Danio rerio: one gene and its partners. The protein of the gene in region 1 interacts with the protein of each later gene in a biochemical or structural test. Links are inferred from orthologs where the notes say so. Each region holds a gene or a part of one and is shown on either strand. Other genes may lie near its edges.

Evidence for each region.
Region 2: the proteins of npr2 (region 1) and nppc form a complex in vitro, tested with the Homo sapiens proteins (3 studies listed by BioGRID). The link is inferred for Danio rerio from reciprocal best matches to the Homo sapiens genes NPR2 and NPPC.
Region 3: the proteins of npr2 (region 1) and nppa form a complex in vitro, tested with the Homo sapiens proteins (3 studies listed by BioGRID). The link is inferred for Danio rerio from reciprocal best matches to the Homo sapiens genes NPR2 and NPPA.

What each region holds. Positions count from the first base shown.
Region 1 is NC_133180.1:59,952,770-59,956,425, reverse strand, and holds part of npr2 (atrial natriuretic peptide receptor 2), read right to left. Parts: intron 3,590-3,656; coding exon 3,421-3,589; intron 1-3,420. UniProt on the Homo sapiens protein: Receptor for the C-type natriuretic peptide NPPC/CNP hormone. Has guanylate cyclase activity upon binding of its ligand. May play a role in the regulation of skeletal growth.
Region 2 is NC_133197.1:40,812,325-40,816,699, forward strand, and holds the start of nppc (C-type natriuretic peptide precursor), read right to left. Parts: upstream 2,843-4,375; 5' UTR 2,729-2,842; coding exon 2,633-2,728; intron 1-2,632.
Region 3 is NC_133183.1:58,370,529-58,374,928, reverse strand, and holds the start of nppa (natriuretic peptides A precursor), read right to left. Parts: upstream 2,877-4,400; 5' UTR 2,839-2,876; coding exon 2,725-2,838; intron 1-2,724.

The DNA of each region.
Region 1 (3,656 bases):
TAAATAACTAGAAGTGTAAATGATACCTCTACAATATATGCAACATAATTCCTCTATCATATTTTGTATGGTGAGTGTCTAAAAATGTCAAATTAAATGTAATTATTACATCTGTGCAAATGTGTCCCCCACCTTTAATCATGGAGCAGTCGAGCTGTCAAATCAGTAAACATTTAGTTTTAAAAACAAAATAGTTCATTCATAATTTTGAGAAACCAATCGTTTCAAAATCATTTTTACAAAATGCTTTACATGTTATTATTATTTTGCATTAAGATAGAAATGTAGAAATCAGAAAATCAAATCAGTAAATCAGTAAGTCGGCCCATTACAGCTTCTTCTATTGAATATAAGTGAAAACTTATGATTAGTCACATTGTGCCATTACATTTAAACACATTTACAATTATAACAATCGTACAAATTCTGTTGAGCTCATAAATGCAGTTGGCAATTAGTGATTTTAGTTAGTTTCTCGTAAAAATAGTGAGCTTGTTTTTTAAATAAAGTGTTGTATTTCATGCTAATGTGCTAAAAAGTGTGTTTCATGCAACAAAAAAAATGTAAAATTTTGATTCTCTAACCTTTAAAACACTTTAAAATAAGGTTTTTATTAGTTAATGCTCATTAATGTATTTACTAACATGAAGTACACTATTGTTGTCTATTGGAAGGAATGCGTCAATAGAGCCGCCATTTTAGTACAGGGTATCGCTCCTTTGAAATGACTATGGGACCAAGGTGCAGTGGCAGACTGGCTATCCGGAGCCAGAGATATATACACATGTATACATATATCTATGATTGGAGATCAGTATGTAAATATTTTTTTGTTATTACGAAAATGATCATTTTACATCACTTTTCTATATCGATGGACAAGTGATTGCATGGGCATTGCTGACAAAAAGCATGTGTTTGTGTGCATGGAAATGTATTATCCTCTCTACCTATTAAATTTAATCTGTGTCCTGAAACACACACCCTCTCCTGCTTTTTTAATTCTAACGCAGGAAGCATTTCATTTGTGAATGAATCTTCGCGTTATGAACAACTCGTGTGAACCATTATCCCTGCATCTCAATGTGCACATCCACCTTCCACAGGGGAATGAACTGCCAACTTATCTAGCATGTTTTTACGCAGCGGATGCCCTTCCAGCCACAACCCATTTCTGGGAAATATCTACACACACACACACACACACACACACACACACACACACACACACTCATACACTATGGACAATTTAGCCTACTCAATTCACCTGTACCACATGTCTTTGGACTGTGGGGGAAACCGGAGCACCCGGAGGAAATCCACACAAACGCAGGGAGAACATGCAAACTTCACACAGAAATGCCAACTGAGCCAGGGTTCGAACCAGCGACCCAACAACCTTTTTGCTGTGAGGCGACAGCACTACCTACTGCGCCACTGCATCACCTTTATTATTTGTTCATGTTAGTAAGTGTATTAACTAATACAACCTTATTGTAAAGTGCTACGAAAAAATCTTAGCTTGTATTCTCTGTGTAGCCAGAATATGGTAATACCTCTTACGTGTTCTGTTAATCATCATCAGTAACCATTACCACAATATAAAGAATATAATCTATATTAATGATTTTGTGTTCAATGACTGTTAATCTGTTAATTCATGATGCTTACTTTAGCATCAATAAATGTCAGTTAAAACAAACATTGTTGGTCTTTTAGATATAGAACATGTTCCATAATTTCAATAAAGATGTTGATATCCATCATTTAAACATCTGCAGAACTTTCAACAATCAGAATAATCTTATCTTAAAAATGTAAATAAAAGCAAGACTAAAAACTGATGCTCCCAAAACCTTTGTGAACAGAAAATGTAAGTGTATGTGCAATTACTTGTTATGGTGTGCTTTGTTTTCATTTCTTTAAAAGGTGTGCAGTAATTACTGCCTGCCAGGGCTTAAATGTCAGCAAGGGATCTGCTAAAGGCATAAATGCCCACAAATATATATTCACTATGGCATGAAGGATGAATGAGTAAATGAATCCACATATCAAAGGAGAATTTGAAAATGCTCTGCGCCTTCACAAACAGCATAAATGAATCAGCATAATGCATCTTAACAGAGCTGAATGCTGTCAAAGTAATTATCACTTGCCCAATGCAGCCATTTGGTGCTTTGTCAATAAAGTTTCTGGGTTAATTAACCCACACTGAACTGAACTACTCTGAACTGAAATTTTGAAAACTGAACTGACAGTTTCAATTTACTATAATCTTCTATGTTAAGCTGCTTTGACACAATCTACATTGTAAAAGCGCTAGAGAAATAAAGATGAAATAAAGTTTCCAATCAATTTTAAGACTTGCTTATTCAAGCATGCTATCAATTTTTTTTTCTAAATAAACAAATAATTACTTCAAAAAGCATATCTTGTTAGTATTCACTTTTTGTCAGTTATGTCTTGAATGAACATGAACAGAAAATGCATGCTTTTGACTGCTGAACAAAATGTACACATTCATTCTTAAAGTGACAGTAGCCTATACCTATAATATATAAGTCATTCATTCATTCATTCATTTTCCTTCGGCTTATTCTCTATTTTAGAGGTCATCACAGTAAAATGAACGATTAACTATTCCAGCATATAATTGCCCTTTTAGTTGCAACCCAATATTGGGAAACACCCAAAACCACTCATTCACACACACACACTCATACACTAGGGACAGTTTCGTTTATTCAATTTACCCCCAGCAGGCACAGGATGTCAACATGACATCAGTTTCACGTTGTGCCCCAAACGTGTGTTTGCTTTCCATCGCAACCTAAAAGCAACAAAATATCAACGTCTAATGATGTTACAGCTTGACTTTGTTTGGACGTTACCAATATGAAATCTACCAGACGTTGGATTTTGGTTGCCATACCTGATGAATAAATGTCAGTATATGACGTCACTATGACGTTGGTTTAGGATGTTGGCTTGACAGTGGATTTGGTCACTTTCTGACAAAACCTAAAATCCACGTTATCAACTAATTAAACACCAAAAGACAAACAAACAGCTCACTTCTGAATCACTTTTGTACCATTACAAATTTTCTGTATTAATTCATATGGAAAACACCAGTGTTTTATTTTAGATTTGACTATTAAAATACTATTCAATTTCCCTTCTGTAGCATGTAAAGTCCTAGCTACAGCTTTTCTATGCATTAAAAATAGCACAAATATTTTTCATTTAATTAAAATGACTTAAAATTGTAAAAAAAAAATTTAATTAAAATTTTTGAAAATCTGTTTCGTAAACTTTTTTGCATACTATAATACACTAATAAAATGACTATATTTTATAGACTTGTTGGACAAACTATTAAAAGGCACAAATGTAAATATAATCAGTTTAAGTGCTTACTTGTTAAATTTTGCAATGAAGACCTTAATATGGCTGAAGTCGGGTCTTTCTGCAGGATCTTCAGACCAACAGCCTTCCATTAAGATGGTCAGCTCTTCACAGTGCCGGCTGTTGTCTGTAGTGGGCCTAAAGTATGGTTTCTGGCCATTCCGCACCTTCTGAATTATCTCTGTAAAAAAAAAATAGACAAACAATGAAATTAATTCCCGTCAGTGGAGAACACAATTATTTCAATA
Region 2 (4,375 bases), on another chromosome or scaffold:
CACAATTTTAACAACACTTTTAGATACCAATGATTGGGTTATTATTATTTTTATTTAATTTAAACAACACTTTTAAATACCAACAGTTGGGTCTTTCCATATTTGAGCCAAAACTGGGTTAATTTTGACCCAACAATAGGTTCATTTTTTCCAAATACATTTAAATGACACTTTTTAACCCAATTGTTTCTTTTGTCCAAATTTGACCAAATGCTGGATTTATTTTTCAATTAAATTTAAATATCTATTTTAACCCAGTGGTTTGTCCATTTTTTTTGACCCAACAATTGTTCAATACAATTTAAACAACACTTTTAGATACCAACGGTTGGGTTTGTCCCTATTTGACCCAACATTTGGGTTCCTTTTTCCCAATCAATTTTAAGCAACAGTTTTTAACCCGGGGTAAAACAACCCAGCATTGTTTATAGAGTCAATGCAGAATGTAAATGTCATGTGTTTGGAGTATTAAAAACTCTGCATTAGTGCAGAACTCAATGCAGTCTACCACAAACACGCTGCTAATAAAACTCTAAAGTCATTAAAAACACTGCAGCAACCTTAATCATCCCATATTTTGATTTGTTTCAGAGCTCAGAACTCACCATTAGTACTCACTATACTCACATCTGTGCAGAACACATACTTTATAACACATATTTTAAACAATTTATATACTGTAAAAATGTTACTTGTCACATATTTGGAGTATTTGAAGCTGGAATCTGTGTAGAACACGGTTGTTAAACAAACTTTGCTAAACCTAAATGGCTTTTTTGAGAATTAGTACTAAACATTTGGACAGAGTAGAAGTTTGTTGATAATCCAATTTATCCTTTCTTAAAATTAAATTCAAATATAATGATCATAAAAATCCAAACTGCTGCTTTAAAGCAGTATTTCCAGCTGATCTGACACTATAGGCTAAACTAAAATAAACTAATTCAGTCATACTAAACAAGACCTTTTAAATAAATTAGTTTTATATCAAACACATTTTAGATGACAAAACATGAACTTAGTTGTAATATCATCTAATTAAAAATTCTTTCAGCTATTAAAAACTAGTAATAAGAGTAATATTAATGAAACCGTAATTTCAGTTCTTCGCATTACTGTCATCAAAGTCTATTATTTAATAATTTTAACAACAATTTATTTTATTTGGTCCTTTTTTTAAGTACAGTCTCAGAAATAAAGATACAAAGCTGTCGCTGGGTATAGCTAATTAATAAAAGGTACTTTTTAGGTAAGTAAAATTACACTTTTAGTTCTAATTTGTACCTTTAAAATACCAATACAGACCATTTCGGTGCAAACATGCAGCTTTTGATTAAGCTGACAGCTCATTTACCTTTTAATATGCAAGTGCATAGTGGCAACAGGTGACATGTTTAAAACTGATTAACTGTATGTTATATTATTAGTACTTGTTTTTATGTTGAAATTATCATTAATTAGATAGAATCGGAGAATTAACACAGATCGCGCCAATATTTGTCTTAAGCATCGCCTAATTTGTGTTTGTTTGGCGTTATGAGGAGAAACAATCACAAATAAATCAATCAAATCATTATATGCTGGAAGAATTTGATAAAATACAGATGTTAAATCCTAGAAAACTCCGTTTATCTTCTTTTCCCCCAGAAAAGCGGTCTTTCATGCAACTGTCAGCGTTTATATTTGGTCTTAATTGAATAGTTGTCAGATTTATGAGTTGATGCGCAATCCGATTCCTAAACAAACCTGATTTAATTTAAAACAGTCAATTTATGTATTTATAGAGTACTTTTTTAAGCAAGAGGCTGTTAATATAATGTCAAAAGCAAATCTTTAAAATGAATGAAAATGTTTTCTTAAAAAACATTGCGTCGTGAGAACAAGTGTCGCTTTTGGGAGTTCCCGAAGATGAGGATAATGGACGTGTACATTTCGACCTCAAAATTATATTAGTTTATTTAAAAACTCACAGTTTTACACATATCATGGCTTATTTTCACCGACGCGTCTTTTAATAGAGCTATCAGCTACTTAAAAACTTTTAGCCTATATAAAAAGCCCACCTATTATCGGCAAACAAAGAAAGCAGAAATCACACCTTTGAGGTTTTATATTCGCACATTCAGACATAATTCTTCGAAATATAGTTTCAGAAAAGCAAACTCTAAACAGGGAAATTATATTAGCAGCCAATGACTATTTAAGTTCACATTCCTAAAATAATTAGCAATTTTAAGTCGCCTACTTACATGCGATTTCAGACCGAATATTCAAAGTTGTGGAAAGAAAATAAGTTGGCACCATCTGCTCATAACAGCATGTCATTAATTAATCTGTATTAGTTTTTAAAATTCTTCTTTAACATCTTATGTGCGAATATAAAACCAACCTCAATTCACGCACAATAAATTAAATTAAATAGCGGCAATGTTGATTTTAAGTCATAGGCTACATGCGATTATAATAAAAAATAAGTTGTGCTCATGACACTTTAATAATCATTCTGTATTTGCCTTTTAAAAATAATCTCATTCACACTTTTATCGAACGTCAATAAAGCCAACTTTACCTCAAATAATTACACCGCCTAAATAATCGATAGGAAACAAGCACCTGTCGGCATCAAACTCACCCTCTGTTCAGCCTGTGTCAGAGGTTTAGTCTCTGTCGTGCTGACTGAAAGGAGAGTCAGAATAAGTCCACAAGCCAGCAAATGCGAGATGATCATGGTGATGGAGATGCTGATTCTGGGTCAGTGTTAAAAAGAAAAGCTGCTTTAATGTCGTCTTGAAGAAAGCACGCCCTTCATTTACTCCCAGAGGTGTCCAGCTCTACTCTTTACTCTAAGAAAATTCTGCTCAGGGTTTTTATAGGCGATATGACATCACTCCTGTGACGTCACACCAGTTACCCGCCTCCCTTTAAAAAAAAAACCCCTTTGGCAGTTTCTCCAGGTCTCTGCGTCATAATAAGTTACCGGCCGTCGTATCAGTGACCGGCGCCGTGTCTTTGAGGAGATCTGAGATGGATGTTTAGGTTTTTTAGTCACTGTTTGAGAAGCTACAGGTGGGGAAACTACAATCAGACGTGAATTCATTCATGATAACTGATGAATCACTGCGGACACTTGAACAATCAAACTTTTGTTGTATGAAAAAAGATGTTCGTCATGTAGTTAATTAAAACACTCTGTTTTAATGCCATACGAAGTCTAAACGTGCTCATGTCCCACGTGGAAATCACAGTACTACAGTGTTTTTAATCACATCATAGTAAAGTGTATTTTCCCGTCTGTTCGGAGAAATAGAAAAATATCATGAAATCACTGTTTTAATGCCACAAGAAGTCTAAAACTGCTTACAAACCGCATTAATTTATTTTATAGTAAATACGACAGTGTTTATATAACAAAGTCTGTTTTTTTCTTTGGTCTGAAGAGAAGTAGAAAAAGATGTTGATTTGACATTTTGTTGATTAAACCTCTCTGTTTTAATGCCATAAGAAGTCCTAAACAGCTTACAAACCGCGCGAATGATTCAGAACAATACTATAGTAAAATCTATCTATCCGTCCGTCCATCCATCCATCCATCCATCCATCCATCCATCCATCCATCCATCCATCCATCCATCTGCCCGTCTGTCCACCCATCCATCTGCCCATCCATTCATACATCCATCCATCCATCCGTCTGTCCATCCATCTATCCATCCGTCTGTCCGTTCGTCCATCCATCCATCCATCCATCCATCCATCCATCCATCCATCTGCCCGTCTGTCCACCCATCCATCTGCCCATCCATTTATACATCCATCCATTCATCCATCCATTCATCCATCCATCCGTCCGTCCGTCCGTTCGTCCATCCATCCATCCATCCATCCACCCATCCGTCTGTCCGTCCATCCATCCATCCATCCATCCATCCATCCATCCATCCATCTGCCCATCCATCCATCTGTCCATCCATCCGTCTGTCCGTCCATCCATCCGCCCATCCATCTGTCCGTCCATCCATCCATCCATCCATCCGCCCATCCATCTGTCCGTCCATCCATCCATCCATCCGTCCATCCATCCATCCATCCATCCATCCATCCATCTGCCCGTCCATCCATCCGTCCATCCATCCATCTATCCAAAATTAATTAAAATAACTTTTAAAACTTTTAAAAATTAATAAAAAATGAATAAAAATAAATGAATATTGAAGTAAATAATGTTTTATTGCAACACTTATCCTAATATGTCTTTTCATCCACGTCTTTTAGAATTTTTAGTTCAATTAAAAATAAATAAATGTATAAACCTTCATGAATACATAAAACAAAACAATTTAAACATATATTTCATTTTATCTTTCTTCTCATTTGT
Region 3 (4,400 bases), on another chromosome or scaffold:
TCCACCCCATCGCTTTCTTTTCCTTCTTTACCGCGAGGAGCTCTCAAGACTTACCTGATCTCGGACCCCCTTACATGCTTAAAGATTTGCCGGGATCCCTGGGCTCAATTATTCCCAAGTTTATGGTTCTCTCCCAGGACAGCATGCCAAACTTGCTAATAGTGTCAAGCAATAATCTAATCCTAAACTCTTGGAATCAACTTTGGACAAAAGTGGTGCGCAGATGACCTTGACCTTTATATATTGTACCTTTTATATATTGAATCCCAAGATCATTTAAAAATACCATTAATAAATGCTCCAATACAACTCAACCTTCTTTTTTTTTCTTTTTTTTTTTTGCTATGATGAACCATTTTTGCTTTCCAAAAGAACTTTTCAGTAGACAACTGCGAAAAGAACCCTTTTTCCATAGCATGAACAACATTTCGAGAATTTAAAGAACCTTTTTTTCCACTATAAGAACCATTTATGCAATGGAATATTTCAAAAAGTAAATCAAAAAATTTTTTAAAGAACATTTTGTCCAATGGAAAATTCCATAGGTATTTGCGAAGTGTTTTTCCTCTATAAAAACCTTTTTTTTTCCCAATTGAACATTTCCTAAGGTGAATCTAAAGATATTTGTCCACTATAAGAACTTTTGTCTGATAGAAAGTTCAATAAGTGCAACAAAAAAAATTCCAGAATAAGAACCTTTTGTTTAAGGAAAAATTTTAATATGTGCAACTAAATAATTTTGTTTCCACTTTATATAAACCTTTTTTCCAATAGAAAATTTCCATAGGTGCATCCAATATATGTTCTCACAATAAGAACCATTTGTCCAATGGAAAATTTCCATATAGGTGAATCTAAAGTTCCATGGATCCATGTAAAGATTTTTTCCCTATTATGAGAACCTTTTGTCTAATAAAAAATTCCATAGGTACATATACAAGTTTTTTTTTTCACTTTAAGAACCTTTTGTCCAGTAAAACATTTCCATATATGGATCTAAATATTTTTTTTTGCTATAGGAACCCTTTTTTCAATGTAAAATTTCTATGGGTGTATCTAAAAAGAATGTTTCCAGCAATAAGAACCATGTGTTCAATGGAAAACGTCCATAAGTGAATCTAAAGATTTTTTTTTCCACTGTAAGAGCCTTTTGTCTAATGCAAAGTTCCAGATGCATGTAAAGATTTTTTTCAATATAAGAACGTTTGTCAAGTGAAACATTTTCATTTATGCATTTAAATATTCTTTAACTATAAGAACCTTTTGGCTAACGGAAAATTTCCATTGGTGCATCTAAAAAGAATGTTTCCAAAAATAAGAATCATTTGTCCAATACAAAAAGTCCATAGGTGAACCTATAGGTTTTTTTCCACTATGAGGACCTTTGGTCTAATGGAAAGTTTCCATAGGCATATCTAAAAAGAATGTTTCCAACAAAAGGAACCATTTGTTTAGTAGAAAACTATAGAAGAGTCTAAAGATTTTTTTTCCCACTATAAGAAGCTTTTGTCTAATGGAAAGTTTCATAGGTGCATGTAAAGATATTTTTTGTTCCATTATAAGGATCTTTTGTCCAATGGAATATTATTATAGGTGCAAAAAAAAAAAAAGCACACAATAAGAAGCTTTTGAATTAAATAAAATGTTCCCGCTATATGTAAAAATCTATTTTGTCCAATGTAAAATTTCCATAAGCGCATCCAATATTTTTTCCACAATAAGAACTGTTTGTTAAATGCTGAGTTCCATAGGTCCTTGTAAAGATTTCTTTTACCATTATAAGAACCTTTTATCCAATGGAATGTTCCATTGGAATGATGTCTAATGGATAGTTCCATTGGTGCATCTAAGTATTTTTTCTTTCTACTATAAGAACTTTTTTTTCAGAGGAAAATTTCCATAGGTGCATCTAAAAAAAAATGTTTCTAAAAATAAGAACCATTTGTCCAAAATAAAAAATGTCCATAGGTAAATCTAAAGATGTTCTTTCCACTATAAGAACCTTTTGTCTAATGGAAAGTTCCGTAGATGCATGTAAAGATTTTATTTTCAATTATAAAAACCTTTTGTCCAGTGGAACAATTACATATATGCATCTGAAAAATTCTACTATAAGAACTTTTTGTCCAATGTAAAATTTCCATAGGTGCATCCAATATTTTTTTCTCACAATAAGAACTATTTGTCCAATGGAAAATTTCCATAGGTGAATCTAAAGATTGTGTTTCCACTAAGAATCTTTTGCCCAATGGAATGTTGTTCCACAGGTGCATCTAAGTACTTTTTTGTATACTATAAGAACCTTTTGTCTAATAGAAAATGTGCATAAGTAATTTGCAATCATTTTTAACTAAAAGCCTTGTGTGTCATAAAGATTTGAAAAATGACTGTGCATATAAAAATCCCTCGCACAATAAGAACCATTTGTCCAACGGAAGTTGTTAATAGGTGAATCACAATACTTTTGGAGAATTGGAAAGTTTCCATGAATGTTAAAGATTCTTTATGTAAACATGCTGCCAATGACCTTTTAAGAGTATCTAATAATTTTACTTCTTATTTTTTCGATATTGAAAGTCACATAAAGAACCTTCAACATCAACAGAAAACTTCAACTGTACAAAACGTTGTAAAAGAAGTTGTTTCAGTGACGAAAAACCACTAACTTTTAAGAGCACTGACTGTTTACCTCACATTGAATTGGTTAAACATAAACCCAAATACCTTGAGCTTGGCCATGTTGCTGTCAGAGCTGTGTCTGCTCAACGTGTGCGCTTGTACATCCGTCTGCTGCCAAACCAGGAGCAGCAGTCCTGTCAGAATTAGTCCCCCGGCCATCTCTGAGTGTCTCTGAATGCGTTTTCTTGCCCTCTGAACTGGCTTGGCTCTTATATAGGGACAGTTGGCTGTCAGTGGCTCATCCGTGGTAAAGCGTGTGAAGTGCATTCCGACACCTCGTCTGTGATAACGCTTGCTGGGGCAGATTTCCTTTTAAGTGGCTGTTTTTCGCAGGCCTGGAGAAGTCCTGGTAACTCGGACACAAACAGTGACCTCAGGCATCATGGGGAATGAATCCGCTGCACACGAGTGGCTCACATGCTTCCGGCATCAGATACAAACTACAACTGAGTATACCATAAGGGGTTAAAGCAGACCGCAATCCTATATATAGGCCAATGATGCAGACTGAAGGGATGACTTTGTGGACTATATGTAAAATATGTTTATTGGAGAGGTTTTATCTGACTGATTTCTTGTGTTGTTGGCATGATGACCGCACATAATATTTTACTACACTGTTACGACACTGTATAAAAAAAAACCTGTTTATTATAGGTTTTCTGTATTTTCTGTTTATAAACGGTTGTGAATTGTATTATGGGATGTTGATCTCTTTCAATGTTGAAAATTAAACTTTACAGTTTAACAAAGTGCATTTTATTGACATTTTAGTAGTTTGAAATAATATAGGTTTAATAAATAATATATAGAGATACACTGACCGGCCACTTTATTAGGTACACCTTACTATTACCGGGTTGAACCCCCTTTTGCTTCAGAATCGCCTTAATCCTTCGTGGCATGGATTTAACAAGGTCCATATTGACATGATAGCATCACGTAGTTGCTGCTGATTTGTCAGCTGCACATCCATGCATTTGAATCTCCTGTTCCACCACATCCCAAGGATGCTCTATTGGATTGAGGTCTGGTGACTGTGGAGGTCATTTGAGTACAGTGAACTCATTGTCATCTTCAAGAAACCCCAGTCTGAGATGATTTGTGACATGGCGCGTTTTTTTGCTGAAAGCAGCCATCAGAAGATGGGTACACTGTGGTAATAAAGGGATGGACATGGTCAGCAACAATACTCAGTAGGCTGTGGCATTGGCACGATGCTCAATTGGTAAACATCAGTTTCAGTTCTTTTCAGTGCTCTCCCTACTCAGACTATAAAACATCTCATTCACAAATATTCTTTGCTGAGTCTTGTTTCTCTAAAAACATTTGCAAGCGTTATTCCTGTCAAGCCTTGCTTTTTGATCATTGCCTTGTTTAATTGTTTATGCTGTTTGCCGCCTGCACTGACCTCTTTGCCTGTGACCTCGACTACACTTCTGAATTACCCTCATGATATTTTTTGTACCTGTTGACCATTGCCTGTCTGAAAAATTCATAATAAACTGCACGTGGATCTTAAACACTGTTCTAATGGTACAATAATGTTGTAATATTTCTATTTTTATTTTTTTATGCTATATCTTATATTATTTGATCCTTTTAATGTTTCTAAATGTTCTAAAATGTTTATTTATTTATTTCATAACCTATTATTTAATAAATTACTAATTGTATATTCATTTTAATTCCAGTTTAAGACCAATTTTAATTAAAAACTA